2 linked regions of the Drosophila melanogaster genome follow. The protein of the gene in region 1 interacts with the protein of each later gene in a pairwise test. Each region holds a gene or a part of one and is shown on either strand. Other genes may lie near its edges.

Region 1 (5,142 bases):
GCCGCAAGTCACGCTCACAAGACGCGGAAGTTGAATGTTGATTTTATTCTTCTGCCGCAAGTAGTCCCCCTCGCCATCAAAGTTTCCAAATCCTAAAGTAGTATATTGTGCACTTGTCATGGGATCGAGCCTTTGATTCTGATTTTCGGACATTGAACCATTACCGATATTTTCACTATTTTGGGCGAGCTCCGGGAATGATGCTCCCTTCAAACGGTTTAAAACCTGACCACCTTTATGGGTTAAAATCATGGCTATTTCAAGCAGTTGTTCACAGCATCTGTTGATGCCTTGCTGAATCCTTCGGCGCATTTCTTCGATATCCAGACTTGTTTCGACATCCATAGCCTGCGCTTTCCTTTATACAAAACTATGTGTATATGTTATACGAAATCTACGCGATTGTGTGCTATTCAAACGAATGTCAGACGAAAACTAAATCGAAGGGGTGTCACATCTATTTGACATATATTTCGACTAAATCAACGCCATCTATCATCCATCAGTTGTTAAAAATAAAATTCCACCTAACATAAAGTGTATTGTTATATAAACCTTTATTTTGCTAAGTATTTCTTCTTAATATCGAACTATTTTGCTTTTCCAATCGAATCTCACCTATTTAAATATTTCAGTGAATTTAAACTGCCTATAATCGTTTTGGAACATAGATATAAAGCACATTGCCCACCCGCCTTTATTCCTCCATACCATTTGCCCGTGCCACAAAGATACCTCTGAAAATGGAGGGCTCAACTCAATTATGCACAATTACGGACACAAACAGATACCAAGTGGTGCCACATGGGAATGGAAGCTGGAATGCCCCTCGGATCTGCAAGCCCCATCAAACCAACCGAAATTTTTGGGGCTTCCCCGTGGACTGTGCACTTTTTTGGTTGTTGTCTGGGAATCGGAAGGCAGTCACTGCAATTGCAGTTGCATTTCCAGCTGCACTTGCAGATGTGGCACTTGAATTGCATGCATAGCTCATTGCTTGCCACTCGACTGGGATGAAGTGCTGCAGCTGTGGGTGGTGCAGGTGGCGCTGCACTCAAAAAAAAAAAGGTTTAATACAATTACATTTTTTAATTTCTTAATCGCCTTCTATGATTTTTTGGAAGTAGTTGTTCTATGTAAAATATTATATGGGTACAATATTGACATAACATCATAAAGAAGTTCATCCACTTTTCATGCTGTTACAATACTTATCTAATTAAAATTAATTATTTAATTTAAAAATTTTTTATAATATTTTTTTGTATTTTTTTTTTTTTTTTGTACTGTGTGCTGTTTTTGAAATACCATTGAATTGCTTAAATACATTCATCGTCGTCATCGCTTAATGGCTTGCCTTTTTTGTTGCCATGTCTACTTGGGTTCGTGTTTTCGGTTTCAGTTTGGGTTTGAGATTGCTCCAACCCAAAAAATGGCGATGCAACATATGCGAGTGGCATGAATAAACGGCCTGCTTGAACGAGTGAATGAATGAATGAGTGCACGAATCACTGACTGGATTGGATGGCTGATATGAAGTGCAATCAATGCAAAAACGTTTTCAAGTGCCCAGCATCCAGTTAGTCAGTTAGTCAGCCATCCATCCAGCCATTTATCCAACCATCCAGACTAGACAATCCTAGCACCAGATGCATTTTACTCCCAGTCCCCGAAAACGTGGCTTTTCCACTGGGGCTTGGAGAATGGGAATATTAGATGCACACCAACCATGTGCGTCGATGTGTCGGTGTGAAAGGATTATTCACACACTATTGATTTCAAATTGAGTTGACTTCAAATCCGTCTGAATTGACAGCAGCCAGCAGATGGCAACACATACTATTCTCACTCTCGTTTTCCCATATACCAGATTTCCCAGCCGGAAGTTGACTAATGAATTTAATTTGCAGTGGGTGTTGAGGCAAATACTCGTAGAGCAACTCTCAGGACCCTGAGGACACACAGGACTCATAGAAATCACAGGCTCACAGATCAGCGAACCAGGAACTGACTGATTGACTGCTCCACTCGATGTCCTGATATCCTGATGTCTGGTGTCCTGATGCCGGTAAGTAGGCAACTGTTTTTGTTTACCCACTTGAAGACCCCACATTCTCGATTCGTCCGCAATTGATTGTCATTGCCGGTTTGCCACAAATATCTGACACAAAAGGATTTTTGGATCTGCATTTCTGTATTTCCTGTGCAACTAGACTTTCTGGGTTACAGAATAAAAAAGTAAACGCTCCCTACTTATAGACATATACTTGTGTATACACATTAATAGTTTATATTTATTTATGATTAATATTCTGTGAAATTCCCAATTTAAAAATGCAACATTTCGCGTATATATGTAAATATGTAAATACAATTTGGAGTTAACTTACCGTTAGGTTAAGATAGATTAGGTTAAGACAACAAATCCACGGAGATCGAAACACGCGCACTTACGAAACACGCGCACAAAAGAAAAGTAACGGTTCCTGCATTGCAAAGTTTGCTGCCATGTGAAAAGAAGCGTCACTCACGAAAAATATGCGAAATCTACCATTTAAACTTAAAATTCGATACCGAATTCACCACGCACTTGTGCGATCACATTTAATATAAATCTTTATTGCGTTTTAAACAATTTTAAAGCCGAAAACACGAGGAGTTTCATATGCATGTGTATACAAATTTACAATTTATCTTTTAACCGTTCTGTTAGGTAAGGTTATGTTAAAACAACAAATACACAGAGATCGAACAAGTGCGCACTTACGAAGCACGCGCACAAAAGAAAAGTAACGGTTCCTGCATTGCAAAGTGTGCTGCCATGTGAAAAGTGGCGTCACTCACGAGAAATATGCGAAATCTACCATTTAAACTTAAAATTTGTTACCGAATTCACCACTCAGTTGTGCGATCACATTTAATCTTAATGTTTATTGCGTTTTAAATAATTTTAGAGCTGTAAACCTGAAGAATTTCTATTATTTCCGTTTTTGTCATACAACTGCGCACTTTACTTACGCTCGCGAGAATGAAAACTGAAAGAGGTTCAAACAGAGAAAATGAGAGAGCGCCACATCTCACGCAAGGAAAACGGTAAAAGTTCGCTCGATCTTCGGAATTCTCTCTTCCTAACACTACTCAACAAACAAATTAAATAAATGTTCCCGAATTTTCGTCAGTGCTTTGAAAATGCCAGACAATTGTGTGATGGTCAAGTGGACAATGGAGCTCGCCGCAATTGTTGACTGACCAATGATCAATTTAATAGGAAAACAATATTGATGGCCGAGGAGGACCACTTGGGCGGAATTTCCTATCCAAGGAGTAGATGCTCGAAATCCGGAAGTGTTGCGGTTTTTGGGTAAATTCAATGGGGGTACGAGTTGCTACTCCAGAGTTTTGTTTGTTTGCCTCGAAAACTTGGCAAACTTTTGGTGTTGTGTGTTGTAACTAAATTTTCGAGAGGACAAAGGGCAACAACGGCAACACTTTCACTTCGTCTCGGGGAAAACTCTCTGTTTGGTTTCTTGTGGTTTATTATTCACGCCTGAATTGATTGTAAATTAAAGTTTGTGTCGTTGTGCATTTTGAGGTCAGCCTATGGCAAAGTTTTCTTTTGTGTGTGTGGGCGTGTGGGGATCTTGGGTCCTTGGGTCCAGCCTTTGTCCTCAGCTGTCCTGCTGTCCTGTGTGAGCTTGTGTGTGTGTATGTATGTTGAAGTCCTGTAGTCCTGGGTCCTTGCTTGATGCCCAGCCATATTAGAAGCCAAAAGGCATTCGAGTGCACATAAGACGATTACACATCATTTAACCGAGGCACATTGCAAAACTATGGGGCAAGCCCGAGCCATCACCCCATCCAAGCCCATACCACCCTCACCCCCCCCAGCCTTAATTCCCATCTATTCCCCAGGTCCTGTGTAATTGTTGCTCCTTCTTATTGACTGCTGCATATTGATTATAGCACCCGTCGCCTTGGAGTTTCCTTTCCAAGTTCATTTTCCTTCTTGACTTGACTTGACTTGATTGCCGGCATTTCTCGTTCTTGTTTAAAATTCAATCGCTGCACTCAACTGTGCACGAAATGTATTCATGTGTGTAACTTTAGTTTGGGGGTTTTTGAATTCAACATATACATAAATATATATAAACTATACGTATTTGTGTACATATACTTGGGTGTTTGTTTCGAGACAAAATTAATTTGGTGTTAATAAAGTGAAAGTGCGGCCAGGCTTCAGCCTTTTGTCTGTGTTATAGGCACTTTAAGTTAAAGAAGGCTTAAATTGATTGGCCCTTTAAAACTTTAAAGAGCCCATTTTGATTGGTCTACTTGGAAAAGGATACGTTCAAATTTAAGTTTTACGGTTAGGGATAGGTTCATGAGTTTTAGTGACTCTTGTCTGATGTTTATTCTTGCTTGAATACAAATGATCAATGTACATTAGAATTTAATGTCAAGCATAACATTTTCCATACATTGAATATTCTTTTTAAAATTTTCATACCATAAATATTCTTTTCGATTCGGGCGAAAACTATTCAGAATCAAAATGCAAGCCAGTAAAGTCTCTCCGTCTTTTAGTGACTATCTACCTCTTGTGAGCACGGTTGTGGCAGTGGGCGTGGCTACCTGCTGCGTTGCCGCCCAGATCTTTAGATCGCCCAACAGCACCAAGACGATTGGTCAGCTGAGGTTATGTTTTGGAAATCTAGGAACAGGACGCTTTTATAGCGGATGCTTTCAGGTAATGGCTGTACGTTTTGTTCAAACAAATTCTTTTCCTTAATATAATTATGTATTTAGAAACGGATGTCGCACCGTGAAGCATCTAAAATACTAAGTATTAGTCCTAACGCTCCATGGATCCGACGAGCCATGCTGGCTAAACATCCGGATCGAAACGGCTCACCATATCTGGCGGGAAAAATCCACAAGCCCAAGAATGGGCTGCTGGAGGGAAGAAATCGGTTCAGATAGAAATCGAAAGATTAGGCACTAGATGGCAGGATGTGAAGTTCAACACAGTGTGAGCAGTTGATCTAAATTAAATGTAAATCATTCCCATCATGGCAAGTTATTAAATTATTAAGCAACGTGTATTATTCGCTTCATCTGAGTGTGTAAACATTTCTAAGTATG
Region 2 (7,565 bases), about 11 Mb from region 1:
TGACAATGTCTAATCCAATACCGGAAAAAGAGTCACACCGACGCTGGAACTGCTCTACTTCTCGTTCAGAAATGAAACTCTTGTATTGAATTAGAGCTTAGAGGATAAATAAATGAGTTATTGGGCTTTTTTTTATATCTAGCACCTTACAGTGCAGCGACCCCACGGAAGTGTAACCATAATAATGCTGATAAGGAAGCTTCCCACTTCACTCAATTAAATTGAACAATTTCGGTGTTATTGCGCTCGGATCCAATCATCCCCCTTTCGCCCCGCCGGCAGCTGCGATGGTGTACCAATGGGCGGAAGATAAGACCACGACTCCCACTTTGGGAGTACGACCTTTCCTATCCGACGGTAAACAAACAATCTTTTTTTTTTCCTCAGGCCCTGATTAGCCAAAAACTAACTCTAGGCGCAATCTATTGCCCCAGGATTGACACCTGCTGGCGTCCCCCTGTTGGACTTCCCTCCCCCTTCCTCGCGCTTTTAGACTTCCCTACCCGCGATGGAGGAAAGAACTTCCCGGAATCTTATCGCCCGTGGACTTCCCTGGAAGTGGGACGTCGAGTACCTTCGAGACGAATCGACCCATCATCACCACTCCCAATCAACGCGGCCATCGATAATTGTAGATTTGATTTAACAATAAGTTATGAATCATCTGCTTAAAATTGGATTTACTCGCCATTCTATGCGTACACTTAAAGAATTGGCGGGGCATTAATGGTGCACCTACGTCAAAAGAATATAAAATTAAAAGAAATTTTAAAAACTTTCGAAAAATGCGAACTTGTTCTGTGCACTTAGGTTTCAAATTGTGAGCACATCTTGAGATGGGAACTTTATTATATCTATTGATTTATAAATGGATCGACCCTTCCCCACAATATTAAACATTCAACAGCTCGGCTTACATGGTAAAGTGTTTAGAAAACGTTTTTATTTCTATGCTATTATTCAGACTTATCGATAACTCTAAAGTTACACATGAATGTAAAATATTGTTTTCAAAAATCAAACTCCCGAAGCACTTGCAACGATCAATTACGATTACGACTACCTGGTACAGAGAGCTTTACGAAAATCAAGAGTTTAAAAAAAAATAATGGGATTAGTAGTAAGAGAGCCGAGCTTCGCTGCAGACTCGATTGGTTCGGTTCGGATTGGATTGGATTGGAATTAGAATAGATTATAATGGATTAGATTGGAATGTGGCAGCGTTGAAACTAAGCTAGGATTAGTTGGACTTGCAGGAGTATAGACTAAGGTTAGTACATTCATTTTTTCAGTTGGCAATCATAAAGCAAAACAATCTGCGGCCCTGTCATCGCGTCCCGTTCCCGTTTCATAAATCCTCTATTGCACTCGACTCGCCATCCCGCCATCGCGCTATCTCGCTCTTATTCGCTTCCGCTCTATACCCATCGCATTCTCTCACTCATACGCAAGGACACACACACACGAGGTCGGCACGGAAATCCCCCAGGCTTGGATCCTCCCAAATATCAATTGAATATCTATTGTATGAGATTCGCCGATCGAAATGGGAATGGGTTCACTATCAGCTAATTGTGATGATTTTCGTACGCTCTGCACTAAGTGCATTTTGTGGAGTTTGATCTTTCGTGACAAAAGTGGAAAACAGTTTTCAAGTACGACTACTACTAACACACACACACGATTTTGAAAATTGCATTCACTTCATGCACTACAAATATGGTCTAAAAGCAATTGTTCTAATGCTTACATGGAAATACAATTGTTCGCGATTCCTTACGACATTGTTTTACAAAATCGAAATTCTTAAGCTTTAATAATTTAATAATATCCTTGTGGATTTATTTATTCGCCGAGCATTGAATGCCCTTGTCTGAATCCCGGTTGCCCAGGCGATTTCCAAGTGCCGACAGTGCATATGTACATACAGTTCGCGTCATAAATGCAGATGTGTGTGATATCTTGTGTTTTTCGTGTGTATATCAATACTTATATGCGTTACAAAACCAACAACAATTCCATTTCTCATTTTCACTAAATTGCTTTTGTCTAAAATATCGCCCCCGTTGCCCCGGCTGAAACCCTTGTGATCCATTCCTTGATCCTCCTCCTCCTGCTGCTCCTCCCAAACATGCTGGACTTACCAGCGTGGGCGTATCTCCTTGAACCACCACTGCTGGTAGCTATCGTTAACATCGCAGTGACCCAATGACAATTGCTGCGTGGCCGGATGCAGGGCCATGCATTTCTTGTGGACGCGATGCATCAGGTGCTTCGTGTGCTCGTTGTACTGCCAAGGACCGTCGACTGTCCCCAGACGACACACGGCCAGTTTGATGCCCTGCCGATCGGCCTCCACGCAGCGCTCGCCGACGCCCAACTGGCCAGCGGCATTGAGCCGAACCAGTTGATTATTTCCGCCTCCATGGCAGTATGTGAGGCCCATGATGGCCGGCGGCTGGTGGCCCATCGAGTCCAGGCATCCGTCGGAGGCCACCGAGCGCAGCTCGCCCCAGTGCAGGTTGGCCGGCAGACCCGGGAACTTGTCGTACACATCGTAGGCGATGTGGTCCATGAACCACTGGAAGCTCTTGCAGTTCAGTCGCTTCTTCAGCGCCAGTTGCTCGCTAATGTCGCCCATGTCCAGGTAGCGGGCAAGCGGCTCGCGCGTATAGAAGTACTCCTTGTGCGTGTCGTCGAACCACGTCTCGATGACGCGCTTGTAGTTGATCGTGATCAATGGACCCTTCTTCTTGCTAGCCAGTTTGCCGAAATTGTAGGGCATAAAGCCGCGATAGACGTGACCCACGCGAGAGCATGGCACCCACTCGATGCTGCCGCCACACTGCCAGATCTTGAAGCTCAATTCGAAGTTCTCGCCGCCCCAGACCAGCAGACCCGGATCGTAGGCGCCCAGCTCCAGGAAGTACTCCCTATTGATGGCGAACAGGCCGCCGGCGTGCGTGGGACTGCGATAGGGTTCCGAGTTGTGAGCACGGCGGCGCTGCTCGCGACGTGGCACCTCGTTCTCCTTGTACAGCATGCCCCATTCGAAGATGCCGCGGAAGTGGTTGTCCGTGCCATAAACCGGCCGGTACTCAAAGTTCTTGTGGTCAATGCCATCGATAATGGGCACTGTCATCACAGTGCGATCCCGGTAGATGGGCGCCAGCAAGGGCGGCAGCCAGTTGGTGTTTACCTCGCAATGGGCGTCCAAGAAGACGATCACCTCACCTGCGGGATGCAAAGCAGTTTAGTGTTTGTGTGGATATTTATAAGGTTGTGGGTTAATATGATGATTTAAAGGATGATGCTTTAAAATAGTAATTTGTAAATTTCTATGCATACTGTTTATGCTAAAAGGCTTGTTTGAAATCGACGATAATCTTGCTTCAATTGCAATGATAGGCAATTCTATTATGCTGAGAAAATGTAAAAGAAATTCAATGAGTCTGCAGTTTAAAGGTTTATCATTGCCACAAAGCGGAACGTGAAGTTATCTTCAATTCAAATTCCAAATAGCTGGCGTTTCAGCGTTTGATGCAAACATCTCAAGATAAAACTATTGTTTTCCATACAACACGTTCTTTTAACTATGCGATAAGCCGTCATGAGTTATGCAAGTTATGCAAGAACACATAACAATATACATAAATGAGATATGGGCTATACGCACCTGTAGCCTCCATGGCTCCCCTGGATCTCGTTCGGATGAGACCTTCGCGCTCCTTGTTCCTGATGACCTTGACCAGCCCCTTGAACTGCAGCACATACTCGTCCAGCTGGCTGCGCAGGTTCTCCTTGTCGGAGAAGTCATCCACCAGGATGATCTCGTGCAGCATGTGCGTGGGCGAACGATCGATGACCGAGTGCACGGTGCGCATCAGCACCGAGAAGCCCTCGTTGTGGAAGACAATGATGACGCTCGTGCGCGGCAGATCGAAGGGGTAGTCCCAGTGGCGGCACTCTTCGAGCCGCGTGTCCCGCACCGATCGGTGCATCGATATCTCATCGGAGCAGGCGATGTTCATGCCGTACTCCATCTCGGAGGCGTCCGACATGTGCTTCTTGTCCGGCGACAGGCTGTGGGCCTCGCCATTCTCGCCAGGCCCGCTACGTGGCTTCACATCTTTCGGCTCAAAGTTGCCAAGGCCTGAAAAACGCAAAAACAAATTGTGAGTGTGGCGCGTGCAAATTACCTATGCAAGCTTACAGCAATTGTTTAAATATTGGCCCAGCCACTCACTGTATGCGCTTGCAGGAGGTGTGGGTTATAATTTCAGACTTATGCATAAAGGCGGGGTATTACAGACCAATAATATGCCATCATCTAACCATCTTATGGTCATATGGAATATTCTACGACTAGAATTAGCATTTGATACAAAAGACTAAAGACACACTAGTTTTGGTGGCTGTGCAGTAAAAATGACTTTTATGAGGTTATTTTCTCACTCTATCCGAATTTGATAGTTGGTTGGTTAGGGCCATTACAAAGCCGGTTTTGGAGAATGTATAATAGAATGCGATAAATATTTGAAATGGGCTCGTAAGTTAGACTGGGAATAGACTGTACGATATGGGTTGGAAAAGGTTATCCTTTAACCTCCAACCATACTTTACTCACGCTAAACGTGGTAATAAAGACTTCTTTGAATACTATGTAGCATACATGGCAAGTAATTAATTGGTTAAAACGAGCAAAAGCCGGTTTTAAGTGATATAAAGCAAAGATTACTGAATTCTTTAGCTGGGTTTGCAGTAAGCAAACAACTCGGTCTTTTCAACAATGATATGGTAACTACTCTGTATCCTTAGTTCTGATGATAGTCCTCCATAATAAAATTGTATAATACGTGAGTGAGGAATCTTAATGGCAAGGCTCACGTTATGGGTGACACAATCCTATTCTTTATCCTGGTCAAGGGCTGATATTGCTATCCTCGATCCTGTAGCCACTTACCATCGACCAGCTTGGGCACCTCCCTGGGCCTGCCCTCCAATCGCTGGTGGGCGAACTTGGGTCCGCCGAAGCGCGTGTGATACGCCTCCTGGACGCGCTTGTGGTGATCGCTCCAGTTGGCCAGCAGATACAGCAGCGGCAGCAGTACCAGCAGGCACAATGCCAGCCGGCAGATCCGACCGCTGCGGATGGTGCTCACGCGCATCTCTCCCTAATTCCGATTCCGATGCCCAGTTCCAGATTCCAGTTACAAAGTTCCAAATCTGTTGACGTGTCTAGGTGGCCAGAAAGAAAAAGCACGGCGCGGGAGACGGGAAGCGGTAAGCGGGGAGCGCGGAAAGGTGGCCACAAAGCAGAAAGAGAACAAAAGAACCACTTTTGGTTCGGATTCGAGATGCCGCTGAATGATCAAAGGCGCCCCGCCGATAATGACAATTACAAGTGCTGGGGCGAGAAGCTAACTGGAGTACACCAGCTCGTCCGCCTGAGTGATGCTTTAACTCGGTGCGGAGCAACTTGCCGGCGAAAAAGCGCCGCTGGCTTTGAGCAAATTGCGAGTGCAGGTGCACGAATATTCGCGGTGCAAACGTAAACAAAAAATGGTAGAAAACGATGTTCAACTGGTAAGAACGCGTTATGCCGTTTTTTCTATCATCGCCCAGGCGTTAGGGCTAAATTAGGCACCAGCAGCGATAGGCGGCTGGGCGATAACACAGGGTGGTGAAAATGGATTTTTTTTATGTATGTGCGCAAATAAGTCTAAATGCTAACTGAAAGTTATAACGAAACGCTTGCTGCTGTTGTTTAACTATTCGATATGCCCTAGTTCCATTTAGTGTTAAATATGTTTCAGCGCTGCGCAATTCAACTTTAGGTGGCTGTCATCGATAAAGGCCACAATCGATAACTCCTTTGTTTATGCCAGGGCGCAAATTTGTAAATTTAACCTAATGGGCTCACATCAACTCCACTTTGCCGTTTTTGGCTCCTGCGGCTTTGAAGCCGATACGCTGGTGGAGATCTCCGGCCCAGGGAACAGTGGCAAAAGCCTGGTGCTCCAACAGTTGGTGGCCCACTGCCTGGTGCCCTACAAATTCGGTGGTCGCCAGTGGAGCGTCCTGCTGATCAATCTGAGTCACAAGATCAACCGTGAATCTCTGGCCAAGAGCATTAGGATGGAGCTGAAGGCGTACTCTGTCGGCGAAGTGATTGCTGCGAAATGCCCCACGGAGGAGCAGCTGGCCGAGATTGCGGGCGAGTGCATGAGTCGCGTGCGATTCCTCAACTGTTTTGCAAACGATGATGTTTCCACGTCGCTAATCGACGCCCGCTACGCGATCATCAATGATCCTGGCATACAATTGGTTGCCATGGACACACTCAGCGAATTCTACTGGCTAGATGAGCCTAAGATTGCCAAGAGAATGTCCATGTATCGCCACTATCGATTGCTCCAGGCGCGCCTGGAGAAGCTCTGCAAGGATGCCATCGTCTGCGGCATGTACACGGTGGAGTCTGCCTTTCTGGAGAATCGTTTTGGCGAAAACTTGCCCGAGGCTGGCATAAAGTACCATGTCAGGATGCAGAAGATTCAAAACCAGATCCTCTTGAATGGACTGCCGCTGTCGTTTAGCAATGGAATTCATTTGGATACAAATACTAGCAAGGAAATTACTGAGGCATTGCTGACTCAGCCCAGTTAACATAGTTAAATTATTATTATTAATCTTAGGACAAAATGATGCTAGGAACTGAAAGAAGTAAACGATTGTATATAGAGTATATAGAGTTGATTAAATTGTATATAGAGTTGATAGGTTAAGAAAATTGTATATAGTTTAACAATTTAACTTTAATAATATCTTCCTTTTAGGGATTAGAAATTATATTTGTTATTACTCCTTTATTAGACAATTTCAAGGCCTATGAGTGAGAAAGTAATCTGTGCAACTAATTAAGTTAAAAAAAAGGTATAACTTCTACATTATCTAGATAGTTACGAACTCAAATATACTTTAATTTCCGTGATATCTTCCTAGTTTTACCCGCTCGAACAAAGAAAATTATAGTCCATATAGATCTAGAAGGAAAGTTCGCTTTTATGACTTATTCCATTCAGTAATATATTTAATATTATATATCAGTAATATTATCTTAATTAAAAAAAATACAACAGTTCTTTAAAATTGTGTTGAAACCTTCACTATGTTCTTTTTTTGTTTTTGAAGAAGGCCAACCCTACCAGAATTATACTTAAAACTAATGATTTCTAAAAGCTATACATAAGTAAGGTGGTTTTGTTTAGCAGTTTTTTTTTTCGTTTTCGTTTTCCTTTTTTATCGTTTTCTTAGCATTTTAAGAAGAAGCAATATGATGGTGTATGGTAATGGCAATTAAAATGGAGAGGAGGGGGGGGGGGGGGGCTTTTTAATGTTATCCGCCGATTGATTTTGGTAGTGCTTAAAAGCCGGTAAATTAGTAAAAATTATTATTAAATACAATCATTAATTTAAATGTAATTTCAATAAATAATTATCTGTTTAAATACGATTATTTCCTTCATGGCTTAGTCACAAACATTAAGACATTCGAATTCAATCAA

What was found.
Region 2: the proteins of CG1677 (region 1) and Pgant7 interact in a two-hybrid assay, tested with the Drosophila melanogaster proteins (one large-scale study listed by BioGRID).

What each region holds. Positions count from the first base shown.
Region 1 is NC_004354.4:7,402,755-7,407,896, forward strand, and holds the start of CG1677 (uncharacterized protein), read right to left. Parts: upstream 3,044-5,142; 5' UTR 2,391-3,043; intron 421-2,390; exon of another isoform or gene 346-420; coding exon of another isoform or gene 1-345. Other genes in the region: CG15035 (uncharacterized protein), read right to left, coding at 1-345; CG32727 (uncharacterized protein), read left to right, coding at 4,553-4,747, 4,807-4,980.
Region 2 is NC_004354.4:18,494,269-18,501,833, forward strand, and holds Pgant7 (polypeptide N-Acetylgalactosaminyltransferase 7), read right to left. Parts: upstream 5,719-7,565; 5' UTR 5,169-5,718; coding exon 4,964-5,168; intron 4,154-4,963; coding exon 3,677-4,153; intron 3,235-3,676; coding exon 2,141-3,234; 3' UTR 799-2,140; downstream 1-798. Other genes in the region: Xrcc2 (X-ray repair cross complementing 2), read left to right, coding at 5,914-6,666. UniProt on the Drosophila melanogaster protein: Glycopeptide transferase involved in O-linked oligosaccharide biosynthesis, which catalyzes the transfer of an N-acetyl-D-galactosamine residue to an already glycosylated peptide.